3 linked regions of the Xenopus tropicalis genome follow. The protein of the gene in region 1 purifies or fractionates together with the protein of each later gene. This does not show direct contact. Links are inferred from orthologs where the notes say so. Each region holds a gene or a part of one and is shown in the gene's direction. Other genes may lie near its edges.

Evidence for each region. The genes of interacting proteins can lie anywhere in the genome.
Region 2: the proteins of ptpdc1 (region 1) and mapk1 purify together in Homo sapiens (affinity purification with mass spectrometry; 3 studies listed by BioGRID and IntAct, with this or other methods). This does not show direct contact. The link is inferred for Xenopus tropicalis from reciprocal best matches to the Homo sapiens genes PTPDC1 and MAPK1.
Region 3: the proteins of ptpdc1 (region 1) and ppp2r1b purify together in Homo sapiens (affinity purification with mass spectrometry; 3 studies listed by BioGRID and IntAct, counting the BioPlex papers as one, with this or other methods). This does not show direct contact. The link is inferred for Xenopus tropicalis from reciprocal best matches to the Homo sapiens genes PTPDC1 and PPP2R1B.

The regions. Positions count from the first base shown.
Region 1 is NC_030680.2:152,392,405-152,399,385, forward strand, and holds part of ptpdc1 (protein tyrosine phosphatase domain-containing protein 1), read left to right. Parts: coding exon 1-91; intron 92-442; coding exon 443-580; intron 581-2,034; coding exon 2,035-3,224; intron 3,225-5,127; coding exon 5,128-5,307; intron 5,308-6,125; coding exon 6,126-6,236; intron 6,237-6,338; coding exon 6,339-6,425; 3' UTR 6,426-6,981. UniProt on the Homo sapiens protein: May play roles in cilia formation and/or maintenance.
Region 2 is NC_030677.2:154,030,700-154,038,674, forward strand, and holds part of mapk1 (mitogen-activated protein kinase 1), read left to right. Parts: intron 1-2,508; coding exon 2,509-2,691; intron 2,692-2,830; coding exon 2,831-3,020; intron 3,021-3,550; coding exon 3,551-3,667; intron 3,668-4,633; coding exon 4,634-4,748; intron 4,749-7,459; coding exon 7,460-7,591; intron 7,592-7,975. UniProt on the Homo sapiens protein: Serine/threonine kinase which acts as an essential component of the MAP kinase signal transduction pathway. MAPK1/ERK2 and MAPK3/ERK1 are the 2 MAPKs which play an important role in the MAPK/ERK cascade.
Region 3 is NC_030683.2:84,345,724-84,353,698, reverse strand, and holds part of ppp2r1b (serine/threonine-protein phosphatase 2A 65 kDa regulatory subunit A beta isoform), read left to right. Parts: intron 1-3,379; coding exon 3,380-3,612; intron 3,613-3,757; coding exon 3,758-3,905; intron 3,906-4,135; coding exon 4,136-4,291; intron 4,292-4,740; coding exon 4,741-4,855; intron 4,856-5,351; coding exon 5,352-5,422; intron 5,423-6,672; coding exon 6,673-6,807; intron 6,808-7,060; coding exon 7,061-7,234; intron 7,235-7,975. UniProt on the Homo sapiens protein: The PR65 subunit of protein phosphatase 2A serves as a scaffolding molecule to coordinate the assembly of the catalytic subunit and a variable regulatory B subunit.

The DNA.
Region 1 (6,981 bases):
CAGCGCCCCGGGGAGCACGCCAGCTGTGGGAACCCCCTGGAGCCCGAGAGCGGATTCACTTATCTGCCCGAAGCTTTCATGGAGGCGGAGAGTAAGTGCCCCCCGTGGCGTTTTCCTTATTAATTATGGAACGGCCCCAAGCTCAGAGCCGGAGTGTAAGGGCCCCCAGTCAGCTCTTTGCCCCAGTTCTTTCTCAGTTATTGCAAATAATAAGGGACTCGCTGCTCCCTGGGGTACAGGGTTTCCTTGATTAAAGGGTAACTAACACTGTACAGTAGGGGGGATTTATTAACCTATTTCCAGAATTGACTTGCCCCCCCCTAGAGCCCATACATGTACCATCAGCTGAGCCCAATAACTCAAGGACCAATTAACTGGCCAGCTGGGCATTTAAAGGGCAACTTTGCACTCATTTATATGAATCCTCTGTTTCTCTCTCTAGTTTATTTCTATAATTTTGGGTGGAAAGATTACGGCGTCGCTTCGCTTACCACAATTCTGGACATGGTTAAAGTCATGGCGTTTGCCTTACAGGAGGGGAAAGTAGCCATCCATTGCCACGCGGGGCTTGGCCGTACAGGTAACGTGTTTGGCTTTATTATGCCTTAGTAATACAGGGTCCCTTATCCAGAAACCCCTTATCCAGAAAGCCATTTGCCATAGACTCTGTTATAAGCTAATAATTCTAATTTTTTAAAATAATTTCCTTTTTCTCTGTAATAATAAAACAGTACCTGTACTTGATCCCAACTAAGATATAATTACCCCTTATTGGGGGCAGAACAGCCCTATTGGGTTTATTTAATGGTTAAATGATTCCCTTTTCTCTGTAATAATAAAACAGTACCTGTACTTGATCCCAACTAAGATATAATTACCCCTTATTGGGGCAGAACAGCCCTATTGGGTTTATTTCATGGTTAAATGATTCCCTTTTCTCTGTAATAATAAAACAGTACCTGTACTTGATCCCAACTAAGATATAATTACCCCTTATTGGGGCAGAACAGCCCTATTGGGTTTATTTCATGGTTAAATGATTCCCTTTTCTCTGTAATAATAAAACAGTACCTGTACTTGATCCCAACTAAGATATAATTACCCCTTATTGGGGCAGAACAGCCCTATTGGGTTTATTTAATGGTTAAATGATTCCCTTTTCTCTGTAATAATAAAACAGTACCTGTACTTGATCCCAACTAAGATATAATTACCCCTTATTGGGGGCAGAACAGCCCTATTGGGTTTATTTCATGGTTAAATGATTCCCTTTTCTCTGTAATAATAAAACAGTACCTGTACTTGATCCCAACTAAGGATCCCCGGTGCTGTTCCACCGACTCCCAGGGACCAATGGCTGTTTGGCTCCCAGAGGCTGACCTGTTATCAGTAGTATAATGTTACTGAATATAAAGCCGCAGTAGTAGGAACCGGGGGTGCGTAGGTGTTTAGTCCCCTTACTTCCAGCTCCTATGGAATTTGCAGGATTCATGGGAGATGAGTAAGTTGTGACTCACGAATTAACAAATGTCTGAGTAATTATTGCAGCCCTGTGTCCTGCAGCTTGTCCCCAACTCACATACATCCTGGCGTCCATTCTGTGCCCCACAATGCACTGCTGCCCCTGCATCCATGCGCTTAATGCAGAACCCCAGTACCATGGAAACTATAGAAACGCAGATAAAGGACAACTGTGTACTTGGAAAGTAAATTAGGATTATTGTGTGCCCAGAACATTCCCTCTCTGTATATTTGTATTTATACATATGGGTAGGAGGTGCCATAGTGTTTCCCTTAGACAGTACAGTATGGGGGTACAGCTTATTGTGTGCCCAGAACATTCCTTCTCTGTATATTTGTATTTATACATATGGGTAGGAGGTGCCATAGTGTTTCCCTTAGACAGTACAGTATGGGGGTACAGCTTATTGTGTGCCCAGAACATTCCTTCTCTGTATATTTGTATTTATACATATGGGTAGGAGGTGCCATAGTGGTGCATCACCATTAATAAGACCCCCCCATCCCTTTCAGGTGTGCTGATCGCTTGCTATTTGATATTTGCCACCCGTATGACGGCAGACCAGGCCATCCTGTTGGTGCGTGCCAGGCGGCACAATGCCATCCAGACCCGGGTGCAGTTGCTGTGCATCAGAGAATTCTCCCAGTTCCTGGCTCCATTACACAACGTATTCGCCTGCTCGGACCCCAAGGCTCACGCCGTCACTCTGAACCAGTACTTAATCCGACAGCAGCACTTGCTCCATGGCTACGAAGCCCGCCATCTGAAATACGTGCCAAAAATGGTCCATCTGGTCTGTAAGTTGCTGCTGGACCTGGCAGAGAACAGGCAAGTGTTGGAGGAGGAGATTTTGGACGGACCGGACCTGACGGCAGAGATAGAGAAAGCAGTGTCCCAGCTCCCGGCGGTGCCGCTGGATACAGTGTTAGGGGGCGCCATGTCGGGGGCTGATCCATTAACCCTTTCCGTAAGCCCCACGGCCGGTTTAACCCTTCACGACTCAGTGTTATCCAGTGAGCAGGAATTCGATCCGCTGTGGAAGCGTCGGAATGTCGAGTTCCTCCAGCCCCTGTCCCACCTGAAGAAGCGGCTGAGCTACAGCGACTCGGACCTAAAGAAGGCGGAGCTGCTCCTGGAGCAGGGGGAGACCCCGTGGACCGAGCCGGCCCAGATGCCCTTTGTTGCGCACGTTTTGGTAAAGCATTGCTTTGTGCCCGGCGGTGACGACTCGGATCACCCTTCGCCTTTGCCTAAAAAACAGCCCCCGGCGCACAATACGTTTTCTTTTTGGACTCAAAGCAAACTGGGCACCCCTGAACCCCAAAGGGAAGGGTCCCCACTTTTCCTCAAAAGGAAGCCCCCCAGGGAGATGCAGAGGAGTCGCACCTTCTCATTGGGGTATTCCTGCTTGTTAAACAGCAACCAGACACCGCTACTGGCAAACGCAGAGCCCACCCTGCCCGCTGGCAATGACTGCCCCTGTGCCACGGGCCCCGAAACTGCCCACGACGCTGCCCCCAAAGCCACGTTTTATCTGGGGAATGGAACCCAAGAGGAGAGAGAGGCGTCTCCGTGCGTCCCCCATATTGTGCTGCAGTCGGAGACGAACCTCGAATCCCGGCGGCTGCAGGCGGCAAAAGCCCTTGCGCAACAACCGCCGGAAAGTGAGGATGAGATAGCGAAGAAAGTGGCAGTTTGGCAGGTAACGTTTCCATCTGATTCATTCAGGGACACCAACATACCAATGCCAGGAGATTGGCTCCACCCACGTTGTGCCAAACAGCTATAGGGCTACACCCTGATTTTAATAGTGCCCCTCATAAGAGGTGGGGCCAACAGCTTCCCAAAAACCTTATCACTTTACTTCTATGTCTCCTCCCCCTGCTCCTCTGTATCTTTGTGCCTCTCTAGCTCCTCCCCCTGCTCCTCTGTATCTCTGTGCCCTCTGGCTCCTCCCCCTGCTCCTCTGTATCTCTGTGCCCTCTGGCTCCTCCCCCTGCTCCTCTGTATCTCTGTGCCTCTCTAGCTCCTCCCCCTGCTCCTCTGTATCTCTGTGCCCTCTGGCTCCTCCCCCTGCTCCTCTGTATCTCTGTGCTCTTTGTGGCTCCTCCCCCTGCTCCTCTGTATCTCTGTGCCTCTCTAGCTCCTCCCCCTGCTCCTCTGTATCTCTGTGCCCTCTGGCTCCTCCCCCTGCTCCTCTGTATCTCTGTGCCCTCTGGCTCCTCCCCCTGCTCCTCTGTATCTCTGTGCCCTCTGGCTCCTCCCCCTGCTCCTCTGTATCTCTGTGCCTCTCTAGCTCCTCCCCCTGCTCCTCTGTATCTCTGTGCCCTCTGGCTCCTCCCCCTGCTCCTCTGTATCTCTGTGCCTCTCTAGCTCCTCCCCTGCTCCTCTGTATCTCTGTGCCCTCTGGCTCCTCCCCCTGCTCCTCTGTATCTCTGTGCCTCTCTAGCTCCTCCCCCTGCTCCTCTTTATCTCTGTGCCTCTCTAGCTCCTCCCCCTGCTCCTCTGTATCTCTGTGGCTCTCTGGCTTCTCCCCCTGCTCCTCTGTATCTCTGTGCTCTATGTGGCTCCACCCCCTGCTCCTCTGTATCTCTGTGCCTCTCTGGCTTCTCCCCCTGCTCCTCTGTATCTCTGTGCCCTCTGGCTCCTCCCCCTGCTCCTCTGTATCTCTGTGCTTCTCTGTCTCCTCCCTCTACTACTCTGTATCTCTGTGCTCTATGTGGCTCCACCCCCTGCTCCTCTGTATCTCTGTGCCCTCTGGCTCCTCCCCCTGCTCCTCTGTATCTCTGTGCCCTCTGGCTCCTCCCCCTGCTCCTCTGTATCTCTGTGCCTCTCTGGCTCCTCCCCCTGCTCCTCTGTATCTCTGTGCCCTCTGGCTCCTCCCCTGCTCCTCTGTATCTCTGTGCCTCTCTGGCTTCTCCCCCTGCTCCTCTGTATCTCTGTGCTCTATGTGGCTCCTCCCCCTGCTCCTCTGTATCTCTGTGCCTCTCTGGCTTCTCCCCCTGCTCCTCTGTATCTCTGTGCTCTATGTGGCTCCACCCCCTGCTCCTCTGTATTTCTGTGCCTCTCTGGCTTCTCCCCCTGCTCCTCTGTATCTCTGTGCTCTATGTGGCTCCACCCCCTGCTCCTCTGTATCTCTGTGCCTCTCTGGCTTCTCCCCCTGCTCCTCTGTATCTCTGTGCCCTCTGGCTCCTCCCCCTGCTCCTCTGTATCTCTGTGCTTCTCTGTCTCCTCCCTCTACTACTCTGTATCTCTGTGCTCTATGTGGCTCCACCCCCTGCTCCTCTGTATCTCTGTGCCCTCTGGCTCCTCCCCCTGCTCCTCTGTATCTCTGTGCCCTCTGGCTCCTCCCCCTGCTCCTCTGTATCTCTGTGCCCTCTGGCTCCTCCCCCTGCTCCTCTATATTTTTGTGCCCCCATGACTGGGACAGAGGGGGTGGTTGGGGCAGATTTGGCAGGATATAAGGAAGGGAGATCCCCTATTTATTGTAATGGAGACCAATAGTGGCTTAGGGGACATTTGGGTGGGGGGCAGTTGCACTAAATGGTTCCGGTACCGACCCGCCCGTGGGTTCCGTTACATTTGTGCATCTTTATGTTTATTAGAAAGAGTTAAACTCCCGGGAATCGGCCTGGGATAGAATCTGCTCGGAGAGAGACCCCTTGGTGCTGTGCGGCCTGATGTGGGCCTGGCTGGATCAGCTCAAAGAACCGGTCATCACAAAGGAGGATATTGACCTGCTAACGGGCTGTGACCCAAACACTGCCCTCTGCCTGCTGGAGAAGGTATTGCCACCACTTCCCCAAATATTCTGGGTTTTACCCTCTGCTGCATTTTATGGGGCAGTTGTGGCACCTTGTGGGTAGGGTTGGCACCTTTACTGCCCAGGGTGGGGGGGCTGCCTGTCATGTTGGGGTGCGGTTGTGATGTAAGGGGGGCAGGAAATAGAGAGCAAGGTGGGTTAGAAAGGGAGCGAGGGGGTGGGACAGGGCAGAGGGCAAGTTATTTCATACCAACAAGGTGGCAGCCCTACTTGTGGGGGGTTGTTTATATAATAAGCCCCACAAGGGGCAGTTACCTGGGGTTCTGAAGGCCCTGAGGGCTGTTGTTGTGCCACATTGTCCTGGAGCCCAAGGTCATAAGCATTTGGGTTTCTCACAGTCTTGAGAATGACCCCCCAGAATAGTATAAGGGCAGGACATGAGGGGGTAGTAAGGGCTGAACAACCCCAAATGCCCCAGGGCACCAAACTCCTTTACCCTGTGAGAAGCTTTATACCCAATACTTTCCATCTGTTCCTGTTTGGCCCAGACACCCCTGAAGCTTAAGCTCAGAAAAGGGTGGAGCTTAGTAGAAAGTAGGTGGGGTTTAGGTGCAGTAAAGTAGAATGGGGTTCTGGCTCCTTATGCTGAAAAGGGTGGAGCTTAGTAGAAAGTAGGTGGGGTTTAGGTGCAGTAAAGTAGAATGGGGTTCTGGCTCCTTATGCTGAAAAGGGTGGAGCTTAGTAGAAAGTAGGTGGGGTTTAGGTGCAGTAAAGTAGAAGGAGGGGGCAGATTTTTCCATCATCCCCCACTGACTTGCCCTTTGTTTATTGCTTCCCCAGAGCCAACACCAAACCCTCCTGTGTGTCCTGCACTGTGTGAGTCGCCTGCAGCCAATCCCTAACCAGTTACTGGGGGACCTACTGGCCAGGGCCGCCCGAGCTTTCACCAAGGTAATTGCCCCTCTATCAGCCCTTAGACTGTAAGCTCTGCGGGACAGGGACTGCCTTCCTTTCCAAAGTATATTGATGATAATTCTGCTTATTTCCCCCCAGGTGACGGCGGATTCCGAGGACGCCCCAGTTGTATATGGCACCCTCATTCCCATCTTCAGGGGCGCACTGTCCGACCTGCGCAAATAGGGGGCAAATAGGGGCGCACTGTCCGACCTGCGCAAATAGGGGGCAAATAGGGGCGCACTGTCCGACCTGCGCAAATAGGGGGCAAATAGGGGCGCACTGTCCGACCTGCGCAAATAGGGGGCAAATAGGGGCGCACTGTCCGACCTGCGCAAATAGGGGGCAAATAGGGGCGCACTGTCCGACCTGCGCAAATAGGGGGCAAATAGGGGCGCACTGTCCGACCTGCGCAAATAGGGGGCAAATAGGGGCGCACTGTCCGACCTGCGCAAATAGGGGCGCACTGTCCGACCTGCGCAAATAGGGGGCAAATAGGGGCGCACTGTCCGACCTGCGCAAATAGGGGGCAAATAGGGGCGCACTGTCCGACCTGCGCAAATAGGGGCGCACTGTCCGACCTGCGCAAATAGGGGGCAAACCCAACGCAGAATTCCCCATTTCCCCCCTTTTTGCCAGTTCCTATCTCTGCTCATTGGCAGTTCCCGTGGGTCGGCTCCGTGGTACAAAGGGCTCAATCTACTGTGTTCGGTTCCGTTACATGTCGTGTTGTGTATAATTG
Region 2 (7,975 bases), on another chromosome or scaffold:
CTACCAAGCAGCTATACCTTTGAGGGTTTCTAATGAACTGTTTATGAATATTTTCTAAAGCTCTTTATTAGAAAAGGCACAATTTACTGTTGATTTATACAAAGAAGTACAGCTTTGTTGCTATGGCAATTTTAACTCCCATCACGTCAAGAAAGTGGGAGAATAGAATTTAAAAAAAACTAGTGATATTTATGGAAATAGGAGTTTTTTCCCTTCTTAACTCTAAGTATATTTGATTTACTGGCAAAATCAATAAAATGTGTTTAGTAAGAAACAGAGGTATAGCATTTAGCAAGTGTTTTTTTTAACTGCCAATGTTTAGATATATGCTTACATAAATGTTAGATTTCAGTGAAATAGGGCCCCTTGTAGGAATTAACATTAACAATGTCTGGTTACCTGATGGTTATATAAATTAATTTGCTGTTGCTATTTGCCTGTGAAATGCAATAAAATGTGTAAAATATATTTGCCTTACAAATGCAAGTTGGTCATTTGAATTACTAAAACTTTGATACAAATGGCTTAAAATAAAAGACTGGTACATTGCCATAGATCTTTTATGATATTGTGGTTACTGTATCACTGTCCCCATAATGCTGACATCCCTGAGCATTTTATCAAATTGTGTGGTAATTTGGCTACTGAGGACACTGTTCCATCTGACTTGATAATATTTGACTTTTGCTTTTGTATAGGGACATGTGTGTGAACTCTTGCATAAAATACCAGTAAAGGTTAAGATAGATAGAATTCTTTCTGCAGAATATATAGCCTATACAGTTATGAGATTTAATGCAGAAACCTGTTATCTAGAAAAATCTGATATACACACAAGCTATTTTCCAGAATATATATATTCTTAGAAAGATATCCCATGTCTGGGGAAACCCAAGGTCCAAGCATTCCAGATGATACGTGCTATACCCATGTCATGGGAAAACATGTTTTGTTTTTTTCCCAAAATGCAAAAATAGAGCTTCTCCTGCAGAATCCTGCATTGAAATCCATTTTACAAAAACACAAACCCTTTTTTTAATATTTAATTTTGAAATTTCACATGAGGCTAGCCATGTTCTTTATTTTATATTTTAATAGTGGTAGATATCAGAATAGCACTCAGTACAGGTATGGGATTCATTAACCCGGAAACACGTTATCCAGAAAGTTCTGAATTATGGAAAGGCCATAGACTCCATTTTAATCAAATAATTCACATTTTTAAAAATGATTTCCTTTTTCTCTGTAATAACAGTACCTTGTTCTTGTTCTCAACTAAGATATAATTAGTCCTTATTGGAGCCAATAATTGGGTTTAATTACTGTTTAAATTTATTAGCAGACTTAAGGTAGGAGATCAGAATTAATCAAAGACCCCTTATCCGGAAAACACCAAGTCCCAAGCATTGTGGATAATGGGTCCCATACCTGTAAATGAAGAGGAGCGCACTGTCATGCAGATTCACTGCTTTGAAAAAACTTTTCAGACTACTGTTCACAACATGCCTCTGGCTGTTTAATGCACACTTTTTTTTAAAAAAATTTCTTTAGTAGACTTAAGGTATGGAGATCCAAATTACAGAAAGATTCATAATTTGTAAAACCCCAGGTCCCAAGTTCTGCCTAACAGGTCCCATGCCTGTAGTAAATAAAAGAGACTCCTCCAGTTACATGGGAGTAATAGAAACAATAGGTTATCTGAAAGCAGTTCTAATGTGTAGTGCTGGCTCCTTCTGAAAGCTTAGACTCGGGCACAATGCACTAAGATGGCAGTGAATGTAATTTAAAAATAAATACACCATAAAAATCATGACAGAATCCCGTTAACATTTAGGCACTATGTTGCTGTCAGAGAGGAAAGAGGCAGCCATGGTGCACTGCCCCTCATGCAGACACATTCTATTCTTATGCTTTTGCCTGTGGCAACTGTTATCATTATCATCCAGGGATCAAAATTTGTTATAATATTTGATCTACTAAGCATTCTTCAGGATTCCCCAGATCATCTTTTTGTAAATCGGCTGCTAAGTATTTGCTGTGTAACCCCATAACGGGTTTAAAGGGTATCATTTGTAGCAGCTTCAAAATCGCAGATCTAAAGCAGCAATAGAAATGTATTTTTCCACTGCCGTTATGAGTTTCAGGGCATTCATGAGCGATAGGATTGTTTACCGCACAACATTTCGTTGCATAATTACATTTTTGATTTGGTAAATATTTTATTTTAGCCAAATATAAAGTTTCCATGTTTTTCATACACATATTATGGAGCATCTCTTATGTTTCATTTTAGTACTTACTGTAGGTGCTTTTTATAACGAACTGTTGCACAAATAGATTGCCTTTAGCAAAGACGTTTTCCAAATAAAAATGCCAAAATTCATTGGAAATAAAAAAAAAAAAATAACTATTACAGAGTTTGTGGGATATCTAATGCTGTATAGCTTGACTTATAATGTATGGTAGAAACAGTGGCCAATAATTAATTGTGCTTGCTTTGTATTTCAGTTCTGCCTATGACAATGTAAACAAAGTACGAGTTGCTATCAAGAAAATCAGCCCATTTGAGCATCAGACATACTGCCAGAGAACACTGAGGGAGATCAAAATCTTGCTGCGTTTTAAGCATGAAAACATCATTGGAATTAATGACATAATTCGAGCTCCAACCATTGAGCAAATGAAAGATGTGTATCCTTGCTGTTAAAATTGTTTATCTGTTTTTCTTTTCAAAAGTAGATTTCAGAGAAAAATGTGATTTGTTTCTTTCAGTTTTTCTTTCTTTAATTTTTCACACTCCATCATTGTTGCCTTACATTAAACATTCCAGGTATATTGTGCAGGATCTCATGGAGACAGATCTCTATAAACTCCTGAAGACTCAGCATCTTAGCAATGACCACATCTGCTATTTCTTGTACCAGATCCTGAGAGGATTAAAGTACATCCATTCAGCCAATGTTCTACATCGTGATCTTAAGCCTTCAAATTTGCTGCTTAACACTACCTGTGATCTTAAGGTCAGTGCAGATTGGTAATTATAATAGTTAATGTCCTTTAAAGAGAACTTAGAGCTGTAATGCAAAAAAAACAAACAAAAAAAAAAAAAAAACACAGTCCTTACCCTTAAACCTCAATACCCTTTTGAGTGCAACTACAAGCTTACTCGTATGAGTGATTCCATCCTATTCCTTAAACCCTGCAGGCATCAGGACTCTTCTAAACATGGGCTAAAGTTTTTGCTAGTTGTTGGGTAGTTGTGCAACTAAGGCAATAGTACTTCCCCCCCCCCCGAGGCTTTGGCTTGTACTAGTGTGTTCAGTGTCCATTGCTAGGCACTAAGCCCTGTTTCTGAACTGGTACTGGAGCCAATGTAAACCAGTTTTGCATTACATGGGACTGGCAGGTGGTCCCTTACAGAATCACAAAAAAAAAAGCGCAAATATAGGCTTTTTAACTATTCTATAGTATACGAAATGTTTCTACAAACTCATAGGTACACTCATGTGTACGCTATTAATGTGATAAGTTGGAACTTTGTATCTTCCAGATTTGTGATTTTGGATTGGCTCGTGTTGCAGACCCAGACCATGATCACACTGGATTTCTCACAGAATATGTAGCCACTCGCTGGTACAGAGCTCCTGAGATCATGCTGAATTCCAAGGTAAAAAAATGACTGCATGTATAGATAGACTGATAGGTGCATGTAATTTTCTTGTAATTCAAAATGTAAATATGCTTTGGCCTCACAGTTAATTTAAGACTTAAATTTCTATAATTCTATATTAAACATTAGAGATTTTTATAGATTATGGAGCACATAAAGGGGTTGTTTTGCTTCTAAAATTAACATAAGGTGTGTGACAGACGGGGAGATTAGTCTGCGCGCGACAAATCTCCCCGAAATGCCATCCCTCCAGCGAGAATGTAAATCGCCAGTGGGATGTCATCTGCAAAATTCCCATTTAGGTAACAGTCATCACAACATGGTCACCTTTGAGATTGTTTCAGAAACACCTGTATATAAGTGATACAAGTTAGATTCAAATGTTGGCATGTCATCTCTGCAACTTATTACTAAGATACTTTTCATAAGAAATGTCTGACAGCACTGGACTTGAATATATTGCACATCACATTCTATTCATTTGTGGCAGCCCAGATTGATGAACAATAAAGCCTGCCAAATGTAAAACCTTGATCTACCAGTAAACTCAAAATCCTGTGAGTGCTGGTATCTTTTTGCACAAAATAACAAATTATTGGGGGGGGGGGGGGGTGTAAACAATGCAGAAAAATGCCCCTCTAATCAAATTCTATCACTACTGTGGTTGCACTGTCTGACTCCCGACAAAGGTCCCTGTGGGGGGATCAAAATGTTGAGCAAATAAATCCGTGGAAGACTGATTCAGCAAATTATGTGAGTGCCATTCTTCTGTATTGTTTGTTGTTTCTCAGTTCAGGCACGAAGAAAGGAATTGTTTATGGTATGTACCGTACATGTTATATCTCAGTGTGTATGAAAAAAAAATGACATAACCTTTATGAAAAAGAATAATCTGCTATAGACTGTTATAGACCACTGTTAGCACGGTGGTTTAGTGACTAAAAAAACGTTGCTTGTTTTCAGGGCTATACCAAATCGATTGACATCTGGTCTGTTGGCTGCATTCTTGCTGAGATGCTTTCTAATAGACCCATATTTCCTGGAAAACATTATCTTGACCAACTCAATCACATACTTGGTAAGGTCTAAAGTCATCTATTGTTAAGTATATAAATTTGTATTTATTATTTCTGTATCTTAGTGTCTTAAAGGGGACCTGTCACCCTAAGAAATAATTCCAATTTCTTTTCTTTTGTGTTTGTTAAGCAAACTTAACTTTACATACTATATAAATGATAAAAAATCTTGTTTCCTTCAGTCTTGGAAATATACAATCACAGCCAGCAGGCAGCTGCCATTTTATGGGCACTGTTAAGGCAAGCTTTGTATCATCCCAAGATCTTGTATATGTGCCAGAATGGGGGACCTGATGCCCAGGCCCATGCACTGGCTACACAATTAGATGGTGAGAAGGTATGGGAATGTGAATGCTGAATGGAAAGTTTAAGTAACTGTCTGCCCCACCTCTATGTCTGAGGCATAGAGGCAGGACAAGAAGTATATGATTGACAGCTGGGATTTTTAAATGCATTTATAATGGGTTTGAATGTGTTAATATAAAAATGAATTTTGGTTTCATGTTTAATTTGAAAAGGACTTTTATTATACAGCTTTTTATGTCTGGGTGACAGGTCCACTTTAAGTGTATTTGTGTGGATGGGAAAGAAGAGCCTATCAAATTTCTCTGAACTGTAGGTACAAGCTTTAAAAGTTTAGAAACCAGGGTGTTGGCTTCCTATAATATTAACAGAAAGGCAAACAATTAACTACTGCACTCAGTATTTAGAGATACAGTAATTATGTTTCATTATTATTTAATGCTTTGTAAAACATGCTCATTATGAACAACAATTTTGACAAATATCTATTGATCTGTTAACCTTGTTCTCCTATGCCTGTCTCAGGCGCACATCGTGCTTCTCCTAAGCTTCTGCTGAGCAAGCCATCTGCCTGGCTTGCACACTTCTTGCTCGAATGTAGGACTTAAGATGGGCTACATGGGCAGGTTTAAGCTTCCGATTCGGGCCCTTCAGGTTGATTTTGGCAAATTATCTGCCAGTGTATGAGGCCCTTCGACATGGCCCTACCCTGCCAATATCTTGCTGAAAATTGGGGAGGTTTGAATCGAGGACTTCATTGACTTGTTGATTCGACCACTCCAATGCTTGTATTCCTGTCATTATGGTCTGATCATTTGGCCCTAGGTTCAGCCCAATATCGGTCACCTCGGTTAGGCATATCGGGAAAGAATCTCCCCGATAGAGGTTCCCAGTATGTATAAAAAGGTGATGTAAGTTGAGAGTTTTTAGCCCTAGTTGTGCCTTATTCATTGTGGTCTCCTCAGCAAATGAAGCTACTTCTATATTCTAGAATTCCAAGCAGTGCAACAGCCATTGGTACAGCGAACCTCCTTCCCCAGCTAGGTGTGTGTGTGGATTAGGTTTGGATGTGCCACAACGGCAGCTTGCTTGATTCATTAGGAAGGCACCAAAACCAGCTGGCCGTGAGACAGTACTGATCTTCACATGGGACATAGCATTGCTTTTGACATAGTACCCTTTTGGCAGTTTACTTTCCAGAATCCAGAAAAAGTGGGCAGTCTTTCTTAGCTGTTAAACTGTAGGTGAGTAGGTTCTCAGTCAACATGCTTTTGACTCCCTAGTTCAGCAGAAGCTGCCAGAACTTTTTGGTGGCAGCTCGGAATCCTCTGTTTATGAGAATAGATGCTGTGGTCATTTCATAATTGTTCTGATTTTCATATGCACCAGAGGTTACCTCTTTAGATTAGAGGAACAGAACTTTGGAACAGAGTAGGAAATTTTTCATGGCGAGGGCAGTGCGGTTGTGGAATACCCTGCTGAGTGAATTTATGATGGCAGATTCTGTTAAAGGGGACAAATACTATACATTTTTACAATGCACTCAACCATGTAAAATAATGTCAAATAGAAGTAAGTGCGTTTATTTTAATACCTTTTGGTTCAAATATGCCCATAACTGCTTGAAAACTGTGCTCTACCCAGTCCTTTTGCAAGCTTCCGGTTTAGACTCTTCAGTATGTGGCTGGGGCCCTGATAGACTTCAGTAACAGAGCAGCAGCTACTTAAAGTGCAGTGAATATGCATAGGGTGGGCAGGGCTTTGCAATGTCACAGGCAGTCTGTTCCTGCTCCAGCTATATAGTTTATAGCTACGTGCGTATATACGTGCATAGATCGGTATAAAGTGTGTGTATATATGTGCAGAGGGGTTCAACTTGATGGACTTTGGTCTTTGTCTTTTTTTCTCCAACCCAATCCGTAATCTATATAAACATGGTTCCATTTATTCCATTGCTTGCGAGGGTCAATGAGACCATAAAGAACAGCAGTAGGTTATCATTATAGGCACTGACTCCTGCTTGGTAAAATTTATAGCAACACTGATATTGTATTGCGGTCCACCTTTATTGGACAGTATTGTATTGCAGACCACTTTTTGGCACCCAGCTTAAAAGGAGTCTAGCTTTCATAAATATAATATATTAGAAGCAACGAGGGGTTCTATGACCATATAAAGGCACAAGGATAAAGGTCATTTAGGTCATGGACCTCTGACTTGACCCTCATATTAAAGAAGGGGTATATTTTATCATGTTTCATGCAGTCACGTGACACAAATTGCATTAGTAAGCACTTGTTATAACTGATTACATTACTAACAACCATTTCTAAGAATATAATTTACATGATTTTCATGGTTGCTGTGTCTTATAATTGTATGTTTAAGTTAACTGTTCCGTATTTTTCAGGAATTCTTGGATCTCCATCTCAAGAGGACCTAAACTGTATAATCAATTTAAAAGCTAGGAATTACTTGCTTTCCCTTCCTCACAAAAATAAGGTGCCATGGAACAGACTTTTCCCTAATGCAGATCCTAAAGGTAATTTGAATTCATTTTTTGGTTGGGGGTGGGGATGAAAGGGAAAGATTTTACTGTTCCAAGGAATAATATATTTTTAAACTGTATGCCACTTGTTTCAACCTATTGGTTGCATTAAGTGCTCTGTTAAAACAGTCGTCAGAATTAGTAAGAGATTGATGGTTTTTCATAAATTAAATGCATCAGGGACAATAATTTCCTACTGTCTGATATAGTCAAACCAGGAGCTAAGCTTTGTCAGTAATGTGTTCTCTAATACTTACTTTATGATGCAAATTATATTTAATAGAAGGTTTACTATTAGTCTACTTCTGCTGTTTTTAAAATCAATATACTGGTCGTTTACAAAGATCCATTAAGCAGGTTTGAACATTGATTCAACTG
Region 3 (7,975 bases), on another chromosome or scaffold:
TTGTGAAATTGTGAAGCTGTGAATCTTGAAAAGGAATAAATGCGTGCTTGTAGCATTTAGGCCCCTTTTACAGGTAGCAGAAACACACCACCTGCGTGGAGAGTAACTGTCTTGAATGCATACTGCCTGTTACTTTAAGTGATGGTGCATATATAGTGTGTACTGTAATAAGTAGATCGCAGTCAAGACAGCTGCTCCACTTATCAGGCAGAACCACTGGCATGATCAGCTCCAGTAAATAGTTTGTGTTCTTACCCCCGCTTCTTACAATTTCCTCCTTTATTCCATAAAATGGGCAGGCAGGTTAATTACCTCCAGATATGTAATATAGATTGACTCTAGTGTTTAAATGTAAGGGGGAATTAGATTGTAAATTCCACTTGGACAGTGACTTTTTGAATAATCTGTCTTTGTAAAGTTTGTTCAAGCAGCTATCATTCCCAAGAAATATATTGCATTACTTTTTTTGTGAGTTTCTGGATTGCTATTTAAATAGTCCGTTTACTTTTAGAGTCCAAAATTTTTTTGGCCTGCAAAATAAATGAGCATTTAAACTTGGCCTGATTCTTTTTTTGGTTGTTTGCATTCATTATACAAATACTGTATGTAGTTCACTAATGCTTGCTGTGAAGAGTGTCTCTAGTGTAACATTTATAGTGAAATGCAAGGTTAGCATTTTAAGGTATATTTTCCCTTCATTGTAGCAGGCTGCCTGTACATATATCATGGACACTGAAATGTACCTCCAAGGGTGAATTTCATGCCTTTTATATGTCTTTTTTTGCAATCCACCCAAGATCAATTTCTGCTGATTCCCAAATTGTTTCATGACATTTGCCTGAAACTCAGTGCCTGATCAAAACAACTTTCAACTGTTAAAATCGCATGACTTTAGACCATATGACAACAGACAGTTCGTTTTTCTTAGTATTTTTTCCTCCCATTGCCTCAATGTTCTATTGGGTTGAAATATCTGTGTCTTCATTTGCAGCCTGTGAATTGTGTTGTAAGTACTCTAGGGGCAGCGATTTCCCGAAATCCAGAAAACCCCAGGTCCTTAGCATTCTGGATAACAGGTCCCCTACCTTTAGTAGCTTCCATGAGCATTTTTAAGCAGATCTGTCATTGCTACATGTTCTTCAGGCACTGTTTCTCATAGATTACTATGGAAATTAGTGACTGGCTTTTTGAAACGTTTTTTGACGGTTGCTGCTTTCTACCTGATCCAAATACCTCGTATCCCGTTAGCCGTAAGTCTGTGGGAGAAACGTGTGGGTGGGAATGAGCCAACTAACAGCCTAGTAGAGCCAAATTTTAAAATGCTATTTGGATACCTAGTAGTGGCCTGCACTAGTCTTTTCAGTGGCCAGCACAACACCCGAGATTCTGTAGAAAAACTAATATATTATGGGGTTGTCCTTCCTAAATTAACTTTTAGTATGACACAGATAGTGATATTCTGAGACAATTTGCATTTTTTTTTTCATTTGTATTTTATTTAGCTATTTGTTCAGCAGCTCTTAGTTTGACATTTTAGTAACTGGTTGCTAGGTTCTTGTTTACCAGGGGGTGGTTTTAATGAGAGACTGCAATATGAATAGGAGAGGGAAAGGTTTTTGGCTGTCTGGATCAGTGACCGCCATTTGACAGCTGGAAAAATGTAGAATAGGAAGGCGATAATATTTACAGGTTTAAAATAATGAAGACCAGTTGGAGAGTTGCTAGGAGTAGGACATTATTAATGTAAGGGTGAACCACCCCTTTAACATCGTAAAACTGTTAATTTTCATATTAAGGTAAATTGTATAAGTGCCCAAAAGCAATTTGATGGGTATTTTCTGTGAGGTTTAGTAGCACTTTCATTGATGGCTTTTCCCTGGGGAAAAGAAATTTCTTAATAGCTGTGGCCCACATGATCTGATTTCCATTAACTGCTGTAGGGCACTTCCTGCACATTTGAGTGCAGATGAGAGGAGGAGCTTGCTTTGATAAAAACACCTGTATGCTACAGGCCTCCACTTTATCTAACTGTTTGCACAGATTCATACTATTTTATGTGTGTGTAAAACAAAAAGACAGATGGAACTTATACTGCTATACCCCAATGTGTTATCAATTTCATAAACGTACATAAAAGTTGCTCTGTAGACGAGCTTTGTCCTCTGTTGGCTTCAGCTACAAAGTCGCATCTGGCTCCCCACTTCCCTGCCAATCTACTTTGTGCGTCAGCAAGTAAAGCTGCCAGGATCTTAGATCTCTTGTGAGCCTATTCTGCCTTCTGGAACAATCGCCTTGCAAGTGCTGCTGCTGCTGAGACATTAGGTGCCATCTGGGGGGCCCTGCTTCCTTGGCGCCTTTCCCAATTGTGAGCTCAGTTTGGCAGCCATTAAATATTTTTCTCCACGTCACCAGCCCAGTTAAAGCTAATTTATGTGGGTTGATAGCAGATGTTGCTGCATAAACTTGAATAAAACAGGCAGGCCCAGGTGGCAATATACACACATTAAGCTTACATTATTGAATTTAAGGTAATCGGTGATAGGGTCTTGTGCACATTCTAGCAAAGGGGCTCAAAAGTCCTTTAATTCCAAAACTGAGAACTCATGCTATATTGAGTACTGCCCCCCCCCCCCCCCCCCCCACTCCAGTATTCGGCTTAATTCATATTCAAAATAATCCCACCAGTGAGAATTCTACTGAGAGAGAGAGAGAGAGAGAGAGAGAAGACAATTCACGAGTAAGAATGACCCAATGCTGGTAATGAGCAGTCATTTTGCTGTTATCTTATAAAAAAGCAAAACGTTACATCATAGTATATTAGACTGTAATGAGACATGGGGATATAGGACATACTTGTTCAGTGCTGTGAAAACTCTGCTTAAACCTTCCAGCTCCAGTTGCTGGAACAAAGAGCTTGGAGACAGATATGGTGCCCTTTGAGAATTTTTACTTTGGCGTAAACAGTATGGTAGTTCCCACAAATGTTTGTAACAAAATTGCAAAAATGTACTCTAGAAGAGGCAAACAATACAGTTTATCATGCTGTGAGTTAATGTACCCCATATAAACTTGACATATACAATCTAACTGCTAATATTCTAAACTGGAGAGATGCAGAACAAAAAAGTAAATTTAATATTTACAAATACACTTTAAACAGACCAGCTGCAAATTATTTACATTATATTGAAAGTTAATTCCTTTAAAGACTTCACTGCAAATCATTGTCAATTTGTACGTTTTAGTTAACATGCTCATAATGAATGATATACACACATTAAAATGTGCTGTAAATGAAGTATATGAATTGCTTTGGGGTATCCAGAAGGCATTCTTTAGCTGAAGCTCTTTTAAATTTGTTTACTTTATTTCTGCATAGCCCCCTTTGGAAAGCCTGGCAACTGTTGAAGAAACAGTAGTTCGTGACAAAGCAGTGGAATCCTTAAGGAAGATCTCCAATGAACATTCTCCTGTTGATCTTGAAGCGCACTTTGTGCCACTGGTTAAACGTCTGGCCAGTGGGGATTGGTTCACTTCTCGTACATCTGCTTGTGGCCTTTTCAGTGTGTGTTATCCCAGGGTGTCTAGTACAGTTAAAGCAGAAATAAGGCAGTAAGTATCCTGCTGAGTGGATGTTGGTTTTGCAATGCAGTTCTAAGCAGCAACCTGAAGTATATGTTGCTTTTTCTCTCTTCCTTACCCACCCCCCATTATATATATATATATATATATATATATTTTTCTGTTTAATTTATAGGCATTTTCGCAATCTGTGTTCAGATGACACTCCTATGGTGCGTCGTGCAGCTGCATCCAAACTAGGAGAGTTTGCCAAAGTCCTTGAGCTTGAGTATGTGAAGAATGATCTCATTCCACTGTTTACCAATCTGGCTTCAGATGAACAGGTGAGCAGGAAGTCCAAGAATGCTGATTTTAAATATTTTCTTTTAGAATAATTATCTTGTAATAGGTCCCCCATTGTAGACGATAGCTAGCTATTCATTGCATATAAACATTGTGTACATACATGGGGCAGTAGTAGTTCTGGTGACTATTTACTGTTTAATCAATAACAAAAAAAACCCTATGTTTTGCTTTGGGGGAAAATCTAGATGTTTTGTTTTGTATTGCACAGGACTCTGTGCGTCTCTTGGCAGTGGAAGCATGTGTAAGTATTGCTCAGTTACTGCCTGAAGAAGATCTGGAAGCACTTGTGATGCCAACTTTACGTCAAGCCACAGAGGACAAATCGTGGCGTGTCCGCTACATGGTTGCAGACAAGTTTTCTGAGGCAAGGCTATTTATCTCTCAATTCCTACATTTATTTTTAAGTTTGCCATTTACTACCCAGGAATGCTATTAATTGGTGGTATATTTATATATTTTTTATGTTTCATTTAGCTTCCATGGCTTGTTTCCCTACTTTTATTATAAATAGTTTTAAATATTTGAAATTGAGTCAGGATTAGCTACCCTTTTTATAAAACTTAGGTCACTGATTTGAGACTTCTTGGATTCTTATTAACCTTTGTCATCCCAATTTGGTCAGGCCCCTCTATAGCTCAGAACGATCCTGCCATAGTTCAGGTAACTAGAACTGCAATATGAAATTAAGGCAAGCCTGCTCCATAACTTTTGTCCAGAAAACTTTCATTCCTGTTTGCATTGCTGGAAGATTTAGTGATTAACTTAACAGATATCTTAGTGACTACATGGGTAACATAACTGTTCTCTTTTCAGCTCCAGAAAGCTGTTGGTCCAGAGATCACTAAAAATGACCTTGTCCCAGCTTTTCAGAACTTACTCAAAGATTGCGAAGCTGAAGTGCGGGCAGCTGCTGCTCATAAAGTTAAAGGTGAATGGATATGGATTAACTGCAGTATAATGTTTTACTTCTGCTTTTTATTTTACTTTAATTTGCAAATGTATTTTATGGCAAAATCTGGTACAAATGAAATTCTGTGAGCCAAGAGGGGAATGCATATGATTTAGCAGCATTGGACATTTGGCTTGCGTGTTTTAACTCACGAGTGGTGCATTGAAGTGTAATTAATCACTGATTTTTTGGCTTAGCCACTAAAGATAATAAGTTGATACATGGCTGTTTAAATATTATCAAAATAATCTACTCTTGTATATACCACTTCACCTAGTTTTGTTTAAATAGCCATAACAGTATTTTGTATTTCTGACAGAACTTCTCATAGAATGAGTGCTTTTAGGCAAAACTAGATAGATGAATGCCTATAAGTGGTGATTATTGGACCAAAGTGTTCAGTTGACCATGAATCAGCCATGAGTTAGGAATGTGTTTTTTTTCTTTTTATTAATAAGAATCTTTTATGTTTTAGAGTTCTGTGAAAATTTGCCAGCCGATGGAAGAGAGACCATTATAATGAATCATATCTTACCTTATGTTAAGGTACGTTTTGCCAAAATGAAGATGACTGAAGTTTGCTGCATTTTAAAGGGTTGTTTTCATTGTTATCTGATCTTTTTCGCTGCTTATCCAAATCATAGTGAGTTTAAATGCTCATTTGGATTGATGTCTGCAGTCTTGCGTTACACACGGCTTACAGGGTGTTCTTATAGTGGATCAGTTCTTTGTGTTGAAATCTGATGCCCTTAACATCCCCTCAGAGAATGGTGCCCATATTAATACTCAGATGTTTTTTGCAGACTTTTGCCTCTGGCATCTTGAGGAAGAGTTGTCAAGAGCCTGATATGCCATTACTAGATGTTTTGGCCTTATGTTTTTTAGGCTTTTCAGGTGGTGGCTGTTTTAAGATCTGTGATGTCAGATATTTGGTGTTTTTTCTTGCCTTACAACCTGGTAACGAAACCATCCCCCTGCATTGTCAAGGGGAGGTCACGTAAAAACACCAGGTTAAAAGCCTGTGTAAAATAATTCTCTTGCAATTGACATCTATAACCAATAACCATGTGGAAGGCAAAGGCAGTTTTAGGCATTTTTATGCTGTGTATTATGGCAGGAGGGTGGTTAAGCACCCTTCAAGAATTGCCCAGGATGCCATAGGCTCTGTTATGGCATGGCATGCAGGGCAGTACTACGATGCTATCATTTAACAAGGACTGCTAATGCATTTAAAGAGAAGGAATGGTATTTTGGCATTTTACTACCAATAGATTAGCCACATTAGGGAAAACTAGAATTGCTATATTTAATCTGCAGAAAGCTTTACTATACCTGAGTAAACCTATCTAGAAACTACCTCTGTTTGCTTAAGAAAGCAGGTGCCATTTTAGCTCAGTCTCTGTAGCTTCCAAGGGCAGCTCTAGTTGCTGGTAGCTCAGATCACACATTCTGATGGGTGGTGGAATGAATTCTTATGGGAAGGGGGAGCAGGAGAGAGCTGCGCAGACTCCAGCCCTGGAATGAAGGGTTTTTCTGAAAAAGGAAAACTGATCTGTGAGTGCTTATGGCTGTATTTACATAGACTTTTCTGATGAAGCTTACTTAGTTTTTCGTTTTCCTTTGAACAAGCCTTGGTTTATCATTTTACAAGAAAGAGTTGACTATGCCTAGCTCAGTGTCCTATTATGAGCTTCATTCTGGCACTATTTCATCTCAGTACCTCTCATCATCCATGTAAATTATATGTTTAATAACACCTTTCTTTGTTTTACCACAGTCTTTGTAATGTTTTGTAGGAATTGGTTTCTGACACAAACCAGCATGTGAAATCTGCCTTGGCCTCTGTAATCATGGGATTATCCACAATTTTAGGCAAAGATAATACAATTGAACACCTCCTGCCTCTCTTCCTGGCCCAATTAAAAGATGAGGTAATGTCGGGCAAACTGCTTCATGAATTTATTGAAAAATGATCCATATAAACTTCCCTTCCCTTCATTGTGTTTAGAGATCATGTGTGACAATAAGTTAGGATACTTTATTGTAACTAATAAACTGCATTTATTTTGGTGTATTAGCCAAGATGAAGTTTTAGGCAAAATTGTTTATCCATGTAATGTACATTTTTAAATTTTTTTTTTTTTTTTTTTTTTTTTTTTTTTCATTATCCTTTCTCTTTTTTAGTGCCCAGAAGTGCGCCTAAATATTATATCTAACTTGGACTGTGTGAATGAAGTGATTGGAATCCGCCAACTTTCTCAGTCCCTCCTTCCAGCTATAGTAGAGTTGGCTGAGGATACAAAGTGGAGAGTGCGGCTGGCAATCATTGAGTATATGCCATTACTTGCTGGTCAGCTGGTAAGTTTTCACTTCTTAGTTTCACAAACTGTATATATACAGATCATTTGTAACCTTAAGATAATCTATATAGGAAAGATATATTATTTACATCATCCGGCCAGCCCGGTTGGGGTTAACCTTTTTGTTCACTTGCACAGACCCTCTGCTTTCTGGAGAAACTATGTACCAACCACAGTGGAAATAAGAATTTAGGGGCTTTTGATTTGTTGAAGGTGACTGTACTGTAGCCCTCCCTCACTTGCATGGGGGCTATACCATCTATTTTGAAACCACTACCTTACCAAATGCAGTTGCTGATTAGTTGCTATTGGCAAAATCAATGGTGATCTTTATTATCAGTCTTGGTAAACGCGCCCCTTAAATCCCAGAATCAATCACGTCACAGTGAAACAAGGTGGGAGGTGTTGAATCATTCTGTGAGCCAAAGGGGGTTGGGGAACAGGTCACAGCAAGCACTGACTACTGTAGTTTCTTTATGTGAAATCACATCTGTGTTAAAACAAACAAAAAAAAAAATTATTTTGGAAATAACATTTTATATTTCTTTCTGGAAGTTCAGCTCCTAATGCAAGTTTTTTACATAAGCATTACTAAATTGGCTCAAAAAGGTGGAATATATTTTATTTTGATTTTCATTGTAGAAGTAACCATTGTTAATTTAAGTGCAATTAGTTTTTGGGCAAGTTTTTTTTTATTTTGTTGTAGTCATGCCTTGTAAGTTGTTCTATGCAACAGAAA